Linked DNA regions of Mus musculus. The protein of the gene in region 1 interacts with the protein of each later gene in a pairwise test. Links are inferred from orthologs where the notes say so. Each region holds a gene or a part of one and is shown in the gene's direction. Other genes may lie near its edges.

What was found.
Region 2: the proteins of Litaf (region 1) and Stam2 interact in a two-hybrid assay, tested with the Homo sapiens proteins (4 studies listed by BioGRID and IntAct). The two-hybrid records come from large-scale screens. The link is inferred for Mus musculus from reciprocal best matches to the Homo sapiens genes LITAF and STAM2.
Region 3: the proteins of Litaf (region 1) and Hip1 interact in binary tests that used the Homo sapiens proteins (3 or more experiments, as listed by UniProt). The link is inferred for Mus musculus from reciprocal best matches to the Homo sapiens genes LITAF and HIP1.

The regions. Positions count from the first base shown.
Region 1 is NC_000082.6:10,990,229-10,994,322, reverse strand, and holds the start of Litaf (lipopolysaccharide-induced tumor necrosis factor-alpha factor homolog), read left to right. Parts: upstream 1-1,201; 5' UTR 1,202-1,277; intron 1,278-4,094.
Region 2 is NC_000068.7:52,714,519-52,718,165, reverse strand, and holds part of Stam2 (signal transducing adapter molecule 2), read left to right. Parts: intron 1-1,594; coding exon 1,595-1,741; intron 1,742-2,408; coding exon 2,409-2,478; intron 2,479-3,161; coding exon 3,162-3,348; intron 3,349-3,647.
Region 3 is NC_000071.6:135,542,211-135,546,439, reverse strand, and holds the start of Hip1 (huntingtin-interacting protein 1), read left to right. Parts: upstream 1-1,317; 5' UTR 1,318-1,383; coding exon 1,384-1,503; intron 1,504-4,229. UniProt on the Homo sapiens protein: Plays a role in clathrin-mediated endocytosis and trafficking. Involved in regulating AMPA receptor trafficking in the central nervous system in an NMDA-dependent manner. Regulates presynaptic nerve terminal activity.

The DNA.
Region 1 (4,094 bases):
CCAGCAAACAACAGGGATCTTCCTATCTCTCCCATCCCAGCACCGAAATTACAGAGGAGGATTTAGGAGGCAGGGCCTATCTGCTAAGGGTGGCCATTGAAGGTTAACTCTATTCCTTGTCTCTGATCACTCCCTCTTCTCCAGCCTGGTCTACTGTAATGTGAGTAGCATCGGCATAGCTTCAGCTGCCATAATCTCAACAGCTTTGCCAAATCTTTCCCACGGAGATGGACTGAAACCCTCTCACACTGTGACCCAAAATAAACCTTTTCTTCCTGCAGCCTTTTCTGTCTGCTACTGTGCTCACATTAAAGCAAGGGGATAAAATGTAAGCCATGCATGGTAACATACACTTTTAGCCTCAGCACTAAGGAGACAGAAGCAAGCAGATCTCTGTGAATTCAAGGCCGGGTGGGGCTACACAGTGAAACACTACTGTGAGCTTGTGTGCGCTCACGTGTGCGTGCACCCCCCCACCCCCCCCACACATGTACGTTGTAAGAATGTTTTTTTTTTTTTGTATGTGTGGGATGAGTTGAGACAGGGTCTCATTGTGTATCTGAGGTTGGCTTCAAACTTCCTATGTCTCTCAGATTAGCCACATTTTTTTTGAGAAACTGTTCAGCCGTAAAATGTGCTGGGCTTGTGGCACTATACTCATTTATGGGCCGCTGGGTATGAACCCTGTTTTCATGCATGCTAATGTTAGCCCTCTAACAGCTGAACTGCAGTCTGGCTAGTTTTTGTTTTTTTGAGACTGGTCTCACTATAAAGCCTTAGCTTGCCTGGAACTGTTTTAGATCAGGCCGATCTTGAATATACGCCTCTACCCTCAGTACTGTTCATCATATAATTTTATTCAAATTATAAACTTTCATCAGCTACATAACATACAAATGTTGTCTCCCATTCTGTAGGTTGTCTTTATGCCTTGACTTTGGTGGAGGTGTAGTTGTGGCTGTTAGAAACAAAGAATAATCTCTCCCCTCCCTCTCCCAGGCCTCGCGGCTCCAGAGTCCGCCTCCCGCCCGACCTTTTGGCCCCGCCTCCGCGCGCCCCGCCTCTCGCCAGCCCACTCAGGTCGTAGCTTCATCCCTACTCCTCCTGCCTCAAGGCTGTTACTCCTCCCCTCCTAGACCCCACCCCATCTGGCCCTTTCCAGCAAGCCACGCCCCGAAACATCTCCGCCCCCGGCTCGCCCTGCCTCCCCGGAGCCCTCCCGGCCCGCGCGCGCGGCCAGAGCAGACCTCCCGGCTCGACTGGCGGCGCGGGCAGCGGTGAGTGCGGCCCTGCTGGGTGCCCGGTGGGGAACACCAGATTCGGGGCGCTGGGCACGGGGCGGCAACAGAGGCGAGGGTCGGGCTTTGCCACCTGCCTAGAGTCCCGGGGCACCGCGCTCTCCTTGGGGGGCGAGCAGGGATGTCGTGGGACCCGGGGTGGCGCGCTCTGGGCGGGATTGAGGGCGAGGGGTCCCAGCAGTGCGGTTGTGTTTGGTTCTCAGTCTCGGACTACCCAGCTTCCGTCCGAACCTCACCAAATGATGCCCCTCGGGCTTATAGGAAAAGGCGCGACTTTCTCTAGTAACCTTTAGTATCTAAGTTGCGATTTGGAGAACGCCCCTGTGTGTACTCTGAAAGCAAAAGCGAATAGAGAAAAAGTAGAGTAACTTTCCAGATGCTCTTTAGCTGTTCCGGGCCCACGCGTCTTTTGCTCTTATCCCTGTGAGTTTCACACGGGTTCCCAGACCGGTGCGAGCGTATCGGAGAGCAGGGGAACTTCAGGATCGCGGAGTCTAGAGCCCAGGCGAAGGAGGACGTGACCCCCGCCTGTCCTGCCAGCCCAGTTCTTACTTCCCAGTGGTTTCCAGGTCCGTGTGGGTCTAGACGGTGCTTTTGATCGTCATTCGGTATCGTGCCCCCAGCTTTCCGTTGAGGTTTAAGAGGAAGAGGTGAGGAGAGCATGGGTGTGTTTTAGAAAGGGTCGTTTGGACATTCCCTACCTAATACTTTGTCGGGTTTGTGCTTCCGGAGAGTGAAGCTGATGTCATTCTCTGTTGGACTGAGCGGTAGTCATTGGGAAATAGTTTGTGGAAGTCACGGGGCTCTCTAAGCTCATCCCCTTTTTGCTGTTTTGAGACGGTCTTAGATAGTCCAGGCTAGCATCCCAACTCCATATGTAGCTGAGGCTGGTCCTGGACTTTTCTGCCTCCACAGTGTTGAAATTACAGGGTTGTGCCACTGAGCCGCTCCTCCAGCCTTTTCTGAATTAAACCGTCCTCCCCTGAGTGAGCTGAAGCTGGTTCAGGGACTCCTGGACTCCATATTGGAGTCCTTTGAAGGAAAATCATTTCTACCACTAGGTGCTTGCCTCCTCTTCTGCCCTCCGCTCCAGCCTTCTCAGATTGGCTCTTTTAAAGTAGAACTAATGCAGAGAGAAAGGAGCTGAGTGGTATCACTAATTCCTCCAGCGATTGGCTTTATCAGTTGGATCAGGATCCAGAGGGTGTGTCGCTTGCCTTGCCTGACCTAGAATAACACCCATACTTCATCTTCTCAGCCAATCCTTGTTCTGCCTTCTAAAGGTGTTCAGGCCAGCTCAGAAATATTTGTTGTAGATCTACTTACTGTGGGAGAGGCCCATTGTCCTCCTTCCTATTCCACTAAAGGCATTAATAATGAATGGTTTTATTCCTGCCTGAAAAAATATCCTTATGATAGTTTACTGAATCAAGTGACACAGTGATTGGTATCAGATCCACCCAGTGTCTTGAGTCTCTAAGATACTAGACTCCCTAGATAGTAGCTCCCTTCCTTTGGCGGATACATTCCTTTGTCCATCAATACTTTTATGGCCTGGCCGTAGGAGGGGAAAGGGCTACCCCTTGTCCTTTGAAAATGCTGAAAAAATGGCTCCTGGCCCTAAGTGGCTTATGCTATGGGCGAAAAGCAGGCGTGCTGTTGAAAAGTTCAGAGCTTAGCTCAGAATCCCAGCTTAGGCAATTGGGAGATGTTCCTAGACAGGGAAAGTTGTATGGGAAAGCTGAGGTCTGAGCACACTGCACATAAGCAGAAAGGTCTCAGCAGAGCTGCAGCAGAGGTGTAGACAAGTGCAGGATGGAACACAGTAAGAGCAAAACCTGCTGAGTGGAAGGGGCTGGCCATAGGCAGTTCCTGCTTTCCTGCCTTCCATTTAACCCAGTCATTCCTACTGATGTCGGCCTCACGCTGAAGTGAGAATGGGCAGAACCCCTCCCCCCACTTCAAGTTTTCCTGCAAATTTCCCTGAAGCTCTGGTGAGGGTGGAAAGTAGGAGGAAGCCCTGGAGTCTTGGCACCAGTCATTTGTATTTTGTTTGTTTTGGCTTTCTGCTGCCATGAAAATGGCCCCGGGAACCAGGTGGCTTATATCCACAGGTAAACAGACCCTGCTCTGTGTGTCGGTCTCTGCCATTTGGCCACCCATGGCTGGCTCTGAACTTGAGTGGTGTTTACCCACTGTGGAATTGGAGTTTGAGGTCAAGTGCTGCTTCTGGGGTCCTCATAACTTTGTTTTATTGTTGAGCATTTCAGTCTGGATAGTGATGACAGCATTAGACTCACTGAGAGTGTCACTTGACTACAGGTCTTTGAGAATTGTGTGTTATTTTGTTAAGTTTGTAGACAAGAAGGTATGGCCCCTGTCTCAACATCCTAAGACTCACATCCAAAATGCCTTCAACAAAAGACACATTAGAACAAAGACATTGAAACACAATTTGTTTGTACACAGATGGTGGGGCTGAAGCCAGTCTTTTTGCTCAATCTTTTTTGTTGTTGTTGTTGTTGTTTTTTGTTTGTTTGTTTGTTTTTTCGAGACAGGGTTTCTCTGTATAGCCCTGGCTGTCCTGGAGCTCACTTTGTAGACCAGGCTGGCCTCGAACTCAGAAATCCGCCTGCCTCTGCCTCCCGAGTGCTGGGATTAAAGGCGTGTGCCACCACACCCGGCTTTGCTCAATCTTTTTGGCCCTCTGTAAATTTCATTCTCCTGGAGATGGGGCAGGACTCCAAGGTTCTAACAGCTATGATCAGGAGAGAGAGAGGTGGCCTTTCCTCCCCC
Region 2 (3,647 bases), on another chromosome or scaffold:
TATATAATTGTGTGTGTATATGTATATATATAACTGTGTGTGTATATGTATATATATAACTGTGTGTGTATATGTATATATATAATTGTGTGTGTATATATATATATATAATTGTGTGTGTATATGTATATATATAACTGTGTGTGTATATGTATATATATAACTGTGTGTGTATATGTATATATATAATTGTGTGTGTATATATATATATATAATTGTGTGTGTATATATATATATATATAATTGTGTGTGTATATGTATATATATAATTGTGTGTGTATATGTATATATATAATTGTGTGTGTATATGTATATATATAATTGTGTGTATATATATATATATATATAATTGTGTGTGTATATATATATATAATTGTGTGTGTATATGTATATATATAATTGTGTGTGTATATATATATATATAATTGTGTGTGTATATGTATATATATAATTGTGTGTATATATATATATAATTGTGTGTGTATATATATATATAATTGTGTGTGTATATGTATATATATGTGTGTGTATATATATATAATTGTGTGTGTATATGTATATATATAATTGTGTGTGTATATATATATATAATTGTGTGTGTGTATATATATATATAATTGTGTGTGTATATATATATATATATAATTGTGTGTATATATATATATAATTGTGTGTGTATATATATATATAATTGTGTGTGTGTGTATATATATAATTGTGTGTGTATATATATATATATAATTGTGTGTGTATATATATTATGGTAAGAACTCATCTTGGTTGAGGTCTGGTCATTGCTTTGACCATTTTATGTAGACTGCCTTGTTTATTTTTAACAACCACTCTTGAAGCTTGGCTTTGCCAAGGTCACACAGCGAGAAAGTGGCTTGGCTGATAGGGGTATCTGGCTGTCTATGACTTACTCGGGTCTAGGTGTCTGTGAGTCTTGACTCCAGACATTTCCATTTTTCTATATTGACTCCCACTAGACTTCGTGTTTCGAGGTCTTTATATTAGAGCAGCGTGGAGGCCCCTCTGTTTTCTTTGAAACACAAACTCTGAAGCAGCATTCTCATGCAGCTGTTGAAGTTGATGCGAAAATCCTAATCTCATGATGAGAATATTAAGAAAACAGAGCAAATAGCCATTGATATAAACTATTTCTAGTCATTTGAGCAATAAGTATTCTGGAAGGGTGATATTTATTTATTTATTTATTTACTTTATTTTTTCATGAAGCAGCTGTACCTGTCAATGTGAATAAGCTAAGCATGTGTCAGTTACTGGGCTACTCTGGAGATGCCTGCCCTGTGTCTCTCTTTAGCTTTTGGTGGTGATTCTCTGTTAATCAATTTAATTTGTTTTCATTTTTTGTGAGTGTATATATGTACATGCGCGCACACACACATGACACAGTGCGTGTGTGGAGGTCAGAGGACAGCTTGTGGGAGTCACCTTTTCTCGTAACTGTATGGTTCTGGGGGTCAAACTCGGGATGCCAGACTTGGCACCATGCCCTTTTATTTACTTTAACTCAGGATTTTGTTTGTTTTGTTTTGTTTTTGTTCCCTTTTCTTTACCACTTCCCTAAAAGGCTCATCCTAAAGTATGTGAAAAACTAAAATCTCTAATGGTGGAATGGTCAGAAGAATTCCAGAAGGACCCCCAATTTAGTCTGATATCTGCAACTATTAAGTCTATGAAAGAAGAAGGGGTTACTTTTCCTTCCGCAGGCTCCCAGGTGAGAGGTTTATTCAGACCATGGCTGAAGGTACTTATACAAGAGCTAGCAAGGGATAGGAGTTTTGTTTACTTGTACTCATGTGTGTGCGTGTGTTTGTGTACATGTGTGTGCAACCTTCTAATAAGTAATAAAGAGCAGCCTATCTGTCATTTCTGCTTGCCATTCTCAGAAATGAGTGTTAAAGGACTGTTGATGGCTCAGAGCTCTGCATACCTGTCCAAGGGCCATCAAACTGCAGAGGGTCTTGCTGTAGTGAGCAGCCAAGGACTTGAGGTGTACCCCAGGAGATGTGCTTTCTTTCTGTCTGAGCTCTGAGCCAGTAGCTTGTGAGTGCCTCTTCTGCATAAAAGACCTTCAGCAGCGGAGACTCAAGTTCTGTTCATTCTGTAAAAATTGCATTTCTTTCTTTATGCCAAGTTCTATGTCAGATACTTAGATTTATGTAAAATATTAGTCAGCGTGTACCTTTCATGTGTTTATGTTTTCTTGAAAACTGTTGTTTAGTGTTAGTATTTCAGAACAGCTACTTAAATGATCATGAAGAACCTCACTTTTTAAATGGAGTTGAGTTAGCAGTATTTTTTAATTAGCATCTACATATAATTATACAGCTTGTGCTTCCTTTGAAAGAATAGTTGTGCTCATTTTATTCATACGCTTACAGACTGTCGCGGCTGCTGCCAAAAACGGGACATCATTGAACAAAAACAAAGAAGATGAGGACATAGCTAAAGGTAAGTGGCCAAGCATCATTTGGTGCTGCTGAAAATAGTCTCACCAGGAGGTTTTACTGAAAGAATAATTAGAAGACCCACGAGTAGGCTTTTAATTCTACCTCGGATCTAAAAGCTGTAGGGTCTTAAAAGTCAGGAAAAGCAAAGACCTGACATAAGATGAACCTAATTCATTTGATTTTTTAGTAATATATATTTAATGTTCTACCTTTGGGGAGATTACATTTCACCTTTTCATAATGCCAAAGTTATGACTCAAGCACAGAAGTATGTTCATAATGTCCTATATGGAAAGCTACCCATATTATAATGTCACAATCTGTTTGCTATAAAAATAATTGCTGTATATTACAGACTGTGATGGTAATAAGGGATGAGCAAAAATGTTATTTTAAAAATGTCATGTGTCCCCGTCCCCGCCTGGATTTAACCATTTAGTTTTTGTTTGGACAGGCTTACTGGCATGTACCTCAGGTCCCAACACAGTGAGAGGCTGAGATAGGGGTGAGAGGTGGTCTCAGCTACTCAGGGAGCTCCAGGCTACTCGAGACCCTGTCTCGGAACACAAGGAAACACATGCTTGACTTATCCTTAAATAGAATATTGTTATCTAATGTTTTTTAAAAAGCTTTTAGATGTTAAAATTAATTCTGTTATCTTTACATTTTAATTTTCCCGACTAGCTATTGAGTTATCGTTGCAAGAGCAGAAGCAGCAGTACACGGAGACAAAGGCTTTGTACCCACCCGCAGAGAGTCAGCTCAATAACAAGGCTGCACGGAGAGTCAGAGCTTTATACGACTTTGAAGCTGTTGAGGACAACGAGCTCACCTTTAAACATGGTGAGCTCATTACTGTTTTGGATGACAGGTATGCTTTACCCTTTTTGTGTATCTGTGTGTCATCGTCTGAAGATACAAAGTATGCTCAGATGAGGATAAGGAGTACGCATGCTTTTGACTTTTTGTCGGATAATACCATATTCTTTTACTGTTTTCTTGAAGATTAGACTAGGCAGTGAGACCCTTGGTCAAAGCAGTCCAAAGCCATGCTTGGGTCCTCCACAAATACTACTACACAATTCCCTCACAGTTCCTGTATCATTTACAGTTCGAAGAAACAAACTAGATTGATCTGTTTTGAGCCTAACTCTGTCTTTATTCTTTTTT
Region 3 (4,229 bases), on another chromosome or scaffold:
AAGTCAGATCCTGGGGTCCACACGGTAGAGAACAGAATCTAATTTGCTTTCTGACCTCCACAGAGTGCTGCCGTATGAACACAGTCCCACACATACACACAGGTACAAAATGTGTGTAAAACGTTAAAGGAAAGTCAAGCCTAGAGGCCCACGCCTATAATCCTAACAGTTGAATGGAAGAGGCAAGAGGCTCAGGGATTCAAGGGACTCAGCGACATAGTGAGTTTGATATTGTCATTAATTAAAACATTGCCTAGTACAAGTGAGACTTGTACTGGCTTCTATTGCAGAGCTAGATGGATAGCACCATCAAATTGCTTAATGCTTAACGGTGCCACTAGTTCTGTTAGTGAAGAACCTGTAACTTTTTTCTTTGCTGAGGAGCACTTCCCAGTCTGTAGGTGCTCCCAGAACAGGATGGGAGGAGTGGACCCTACCATAGTTGAACAAAGAGCATCTGTTGGGGTTTCTACCGAGATAAGGTGAGAACGAAGCAAAGTTTGGAAAGCTCTGGGGAGATCCTCGCAATCACAGGCCAGTATTTGGGGACCCTCCAGAACGGTCCTCCAGAACGGGCAGAAAGGAATGCACGAGGAGGGGACTTCGAGGACCACTAAGGCCGCCATCGCGGGTCCACACTGACGCAGAGTTCCCCAGCAAGCCGGTGAAGCATGGTGTGCAGCCATGCTTCCCTTGATCTGCCTTTCCATCCCCTCGGGAACTCGTGGCGCCGGCTGGACCGCAGGTCCTACTGCTCAGAAACCCGCAGCAGAGAAGGGCCCAGGAGGTGGCGCTTCGAAGTAGGGTGGAGTCAGCAAGGGCTGGTCTGTGGCAGCCAGGCCCCACCCACTAGCATGACGGACAAGCCTTCAGAGCAATCATAGTGCTTTTATGGTCCTGGGGGGTGGGAACAAAGGAAGAGTGACGGATGTAGGGTGGAGCCAACAAGAAAAGGTTAGGGCAGCCCATCAAGCCAGCCTGTTGACAGATAAGTCTTCAGACCAATGACAGTGCATGTAGAGGCCTGGAAGGCGGTGCATCGATTATGGGGCGGAGCCTAGGGGGCAGGTTAGGACAGCAGCCCACCAGGTCCTGCCCACTAATGATAATGGACAAACCTTCAGACCAGTCATAGTATGCGGACCGCCCTGAGGCGGGCAGCGGGTGAAGTGAGCGGAGCGCCTCCGAAGTGGGAAGAGGGGTGTGGGGAAAAGCCTCTTGGAAACATGGGGTGGGTTCTGAGGGAGATGGACAGCGCTGTCAACCAATGGAAGACGGAATCTGTCCCCGTTAGCGCCGGATCCCCGCGGGTAGGGAGGGGCGGGAGGCTCCGCGGGGATCCCGGGGCGGCCGAGGGCCCCTGACTCTGTTCACCCAGACAACATGGACCGAATGGCCAGCTCCATGAAGCAGGTATCCAACCCGCTGCCCAAAGTGTTGAGCCGCCGCGGAGTTGGTGCTGGGATGGAGGCTGCGGAGCGCGAGAGCTTCGAGCGGACTCAGGTGAGATTCGAGAACCCTGGGGCATCCCTGGGGCACTTGGAGTGATGCAGGGTGCAAGAGAGGCTTGGAAGGGAGTGGGACTTGCAGACTCGGGAAGGAATTAGGCAAGGTGGCTGCGATCGGAATCATTTTGGGGTAGGGAACTAGGCGGGTCCCAGGGAGGTTCGGGATCTACCTGGGCATCTCCACTGGCATAGGGGTCGGGGTGCACTCTGGGGAACTGCAGATTCCTGCGGCTGAGGGGACGGTCTCAGTGAGCACCATCAGGGGTCACAAGGGAGGCTAAAGGGAGTTGAAAGGGGACTGACGGAAGGGTGCTCCTGGATAGGGGAAGCACTTGGAAGTCGCTTGGTTTTTGCCAAGTGTGGGAACGCCAAGGTGGGGGTGTGAAGGGTGGCTCTGGTCGCCTTACTTTAGTATTGACTCTCCCTACACTTCCCAGCATCTCGCTCAACGGTGCCTCTAACTTGGCTCTCAGCAGCCCCAGCTGTTGGCCTCAGAGGCTGGGCCAAAGGGGTCTGAGTGATGGGAAGGACCGTAAGAAATGTGAAGTGTGGTCCAACTTGTAAAATGGCCCGGGGGTTTGGAGGAACGGGGACGCGCAGCCTGGGGTAGGAATTGAGGCGCTTGGATTGTCAGAGCTTTGCGTGCCGGCATAAGCTGTCCAGTGATACTCAGACTCCTGATTTGAGGTTTTGCTTTCACCCTCCAAAATATGCCTGACAGCTAATAAGCAGACCGCCTGCCTTATTTGTCTGGTCTGACCAGGGCAGATGGCCAAAATTCCACCGCAGTTATCAACAAAAAGCCACTATCCAGTTTTACCTCAGGCTTTTATGCATGCTGTATTGATCGGACTGAATCAAGTTGTGAGGCTCGGGGTGTGTAGTCATCAGTTCATCTGTATGTAAAATCTGTTTCTGAGAGTACAACTCCTCGGATCCCACTGCGGATGCCGGGCCGGTAGATTTCTTCTACTCTGGCTCTCCGAGTTCTACTTTGAAGATCTGAGTTGACTTCAGCCAGAGGCAGGTCCCCTGTCGTGTTCTGTGAGTAGGAAAGATGGAAGAGATAGGGAGGGCCTGTGTGTTCTATAAATGGACCTTGCTCGGAAGAAAGCCTTTTCACCCCAGGGGACTTTACACCACCTCTTGTTTCTGAGACCCCTGGGTCCACTTCTTGTGTCTGAGGGGGGAAATGGGGTAGTTGTACCCCGGGAGGGGAAAGAGAGACCACCGTCCACTTACCTCTCAATGTCTATAGAGTTTGGAGCTTTTTAAATTTCTCAGATCTTTTGAACCTTGGGCGTTGTTGCCAAAAAAAAGAAAAAAAGAAAAAAAAGTTTTCATATCCCCCCCCAACCTCTTTTATTTTTAAACTGAAAGAAGAAAATAAACTGGAGCTATTTTATAGCATCCGACTTAAAACTGAGGCAATAAGTTAGACATAAAAGTTTGAGCTTACGGCCAGCGGAGGTGGCTAAGGGGTAAAGGCTCCTGCCAACCAGTCTGGCCACCTGAGTTTCATCCCAGGAAGGGAACCAACTTGTCCAAGTTGTCTGCTGACCTCCATACTCAAGCCGTGCCATGAATACCCCTCCATATACATACACCCAAAATCACTTTTAAAATGTTTTTTTTTTTTTTTTTTTTTTTTTTTTTTTAGTTTGAACTTAATACAGAGTGATAGAATTGAGGCACTTGAATGTTTCCAGCCATAAGTAACATTTTTCCTAGTTGCCCAACAGGAAGACTGGTAGGCAGTGTCTAGTTTTACCTTCTGTAGAACACTTGTTATGAGCCGTGTGTATGTGTGTGTGTGTGTGTGTGTGTGTGTGTGTGTGTGTGTGTGTGAGAGAGAGAGAGAGAGAGAGAGAGAGCACTGAGATATTCTATAGCAGAGCTTTTCAGTTGTGGAAGTCTCCCCCCAGCCCCCTTTTTTTCTTTTTGGTTTTTCAAGACAGGGTTTTTCTAAGTAACAGTCCTGGCTGTCCTGGAGCTCACTTTATAGACCGGGCTGGCCTCAGACTCACAGAGGTCCTCCTGCCTCCTGAGTGCTGAGTTTTTTGTTTGTTTTGTTGTTGATGTTGTTTTTAATTTGTTTGTTTTGTCGCTGTTGTTCTGTTTTATTTGAGTGAGAATCTTATTATGTTGCTCAGGCTGGCCTGGAACTCAGCTGTGTAGACCAGGCTGGCCCTCAAACTTTCATTGGGAGACAGAGGCAGGAGGATCCTTGCAAGGCAGTGTGGTCTAAGTAGCAGTTCCAGGCGAACTGTGGCTATACATATTGAGACTCTATCTCAATCAGAATTTCAATAACCCAAAAATTAAAACAAACAAACAAACAAACACACTGGTGTCTTCAGAGACTAAGAGAATCAGCGTGGGTTTTATAATAATTGTAGCTAACTACTATGTTTGGAGGTCCTCTAAGTACAGTCCTTGATTTGGTATCTTTAATCTTCTCAAGAGCTGATGGAGTGGTTATCAACCCCATTTTGCTTAGAGGAAATTGAGGCCTACCGAGCGAGGTTAAATAACTTGCAGGGTAACACAGTTGGAAGTGGTCCCAACCTTTAACCACATCCCAGCTACCTCTGAGTCCTGAGCATCCCCGGAAGATAACTGAGTTCTCTTCAGTTCCTTTTGCCTTGAGACAGAGTCTCGTGCAGTTCTGCTGATCTCAGACTAGCTATGAAGACAAAGATGATCTCAAACCCCTGATCC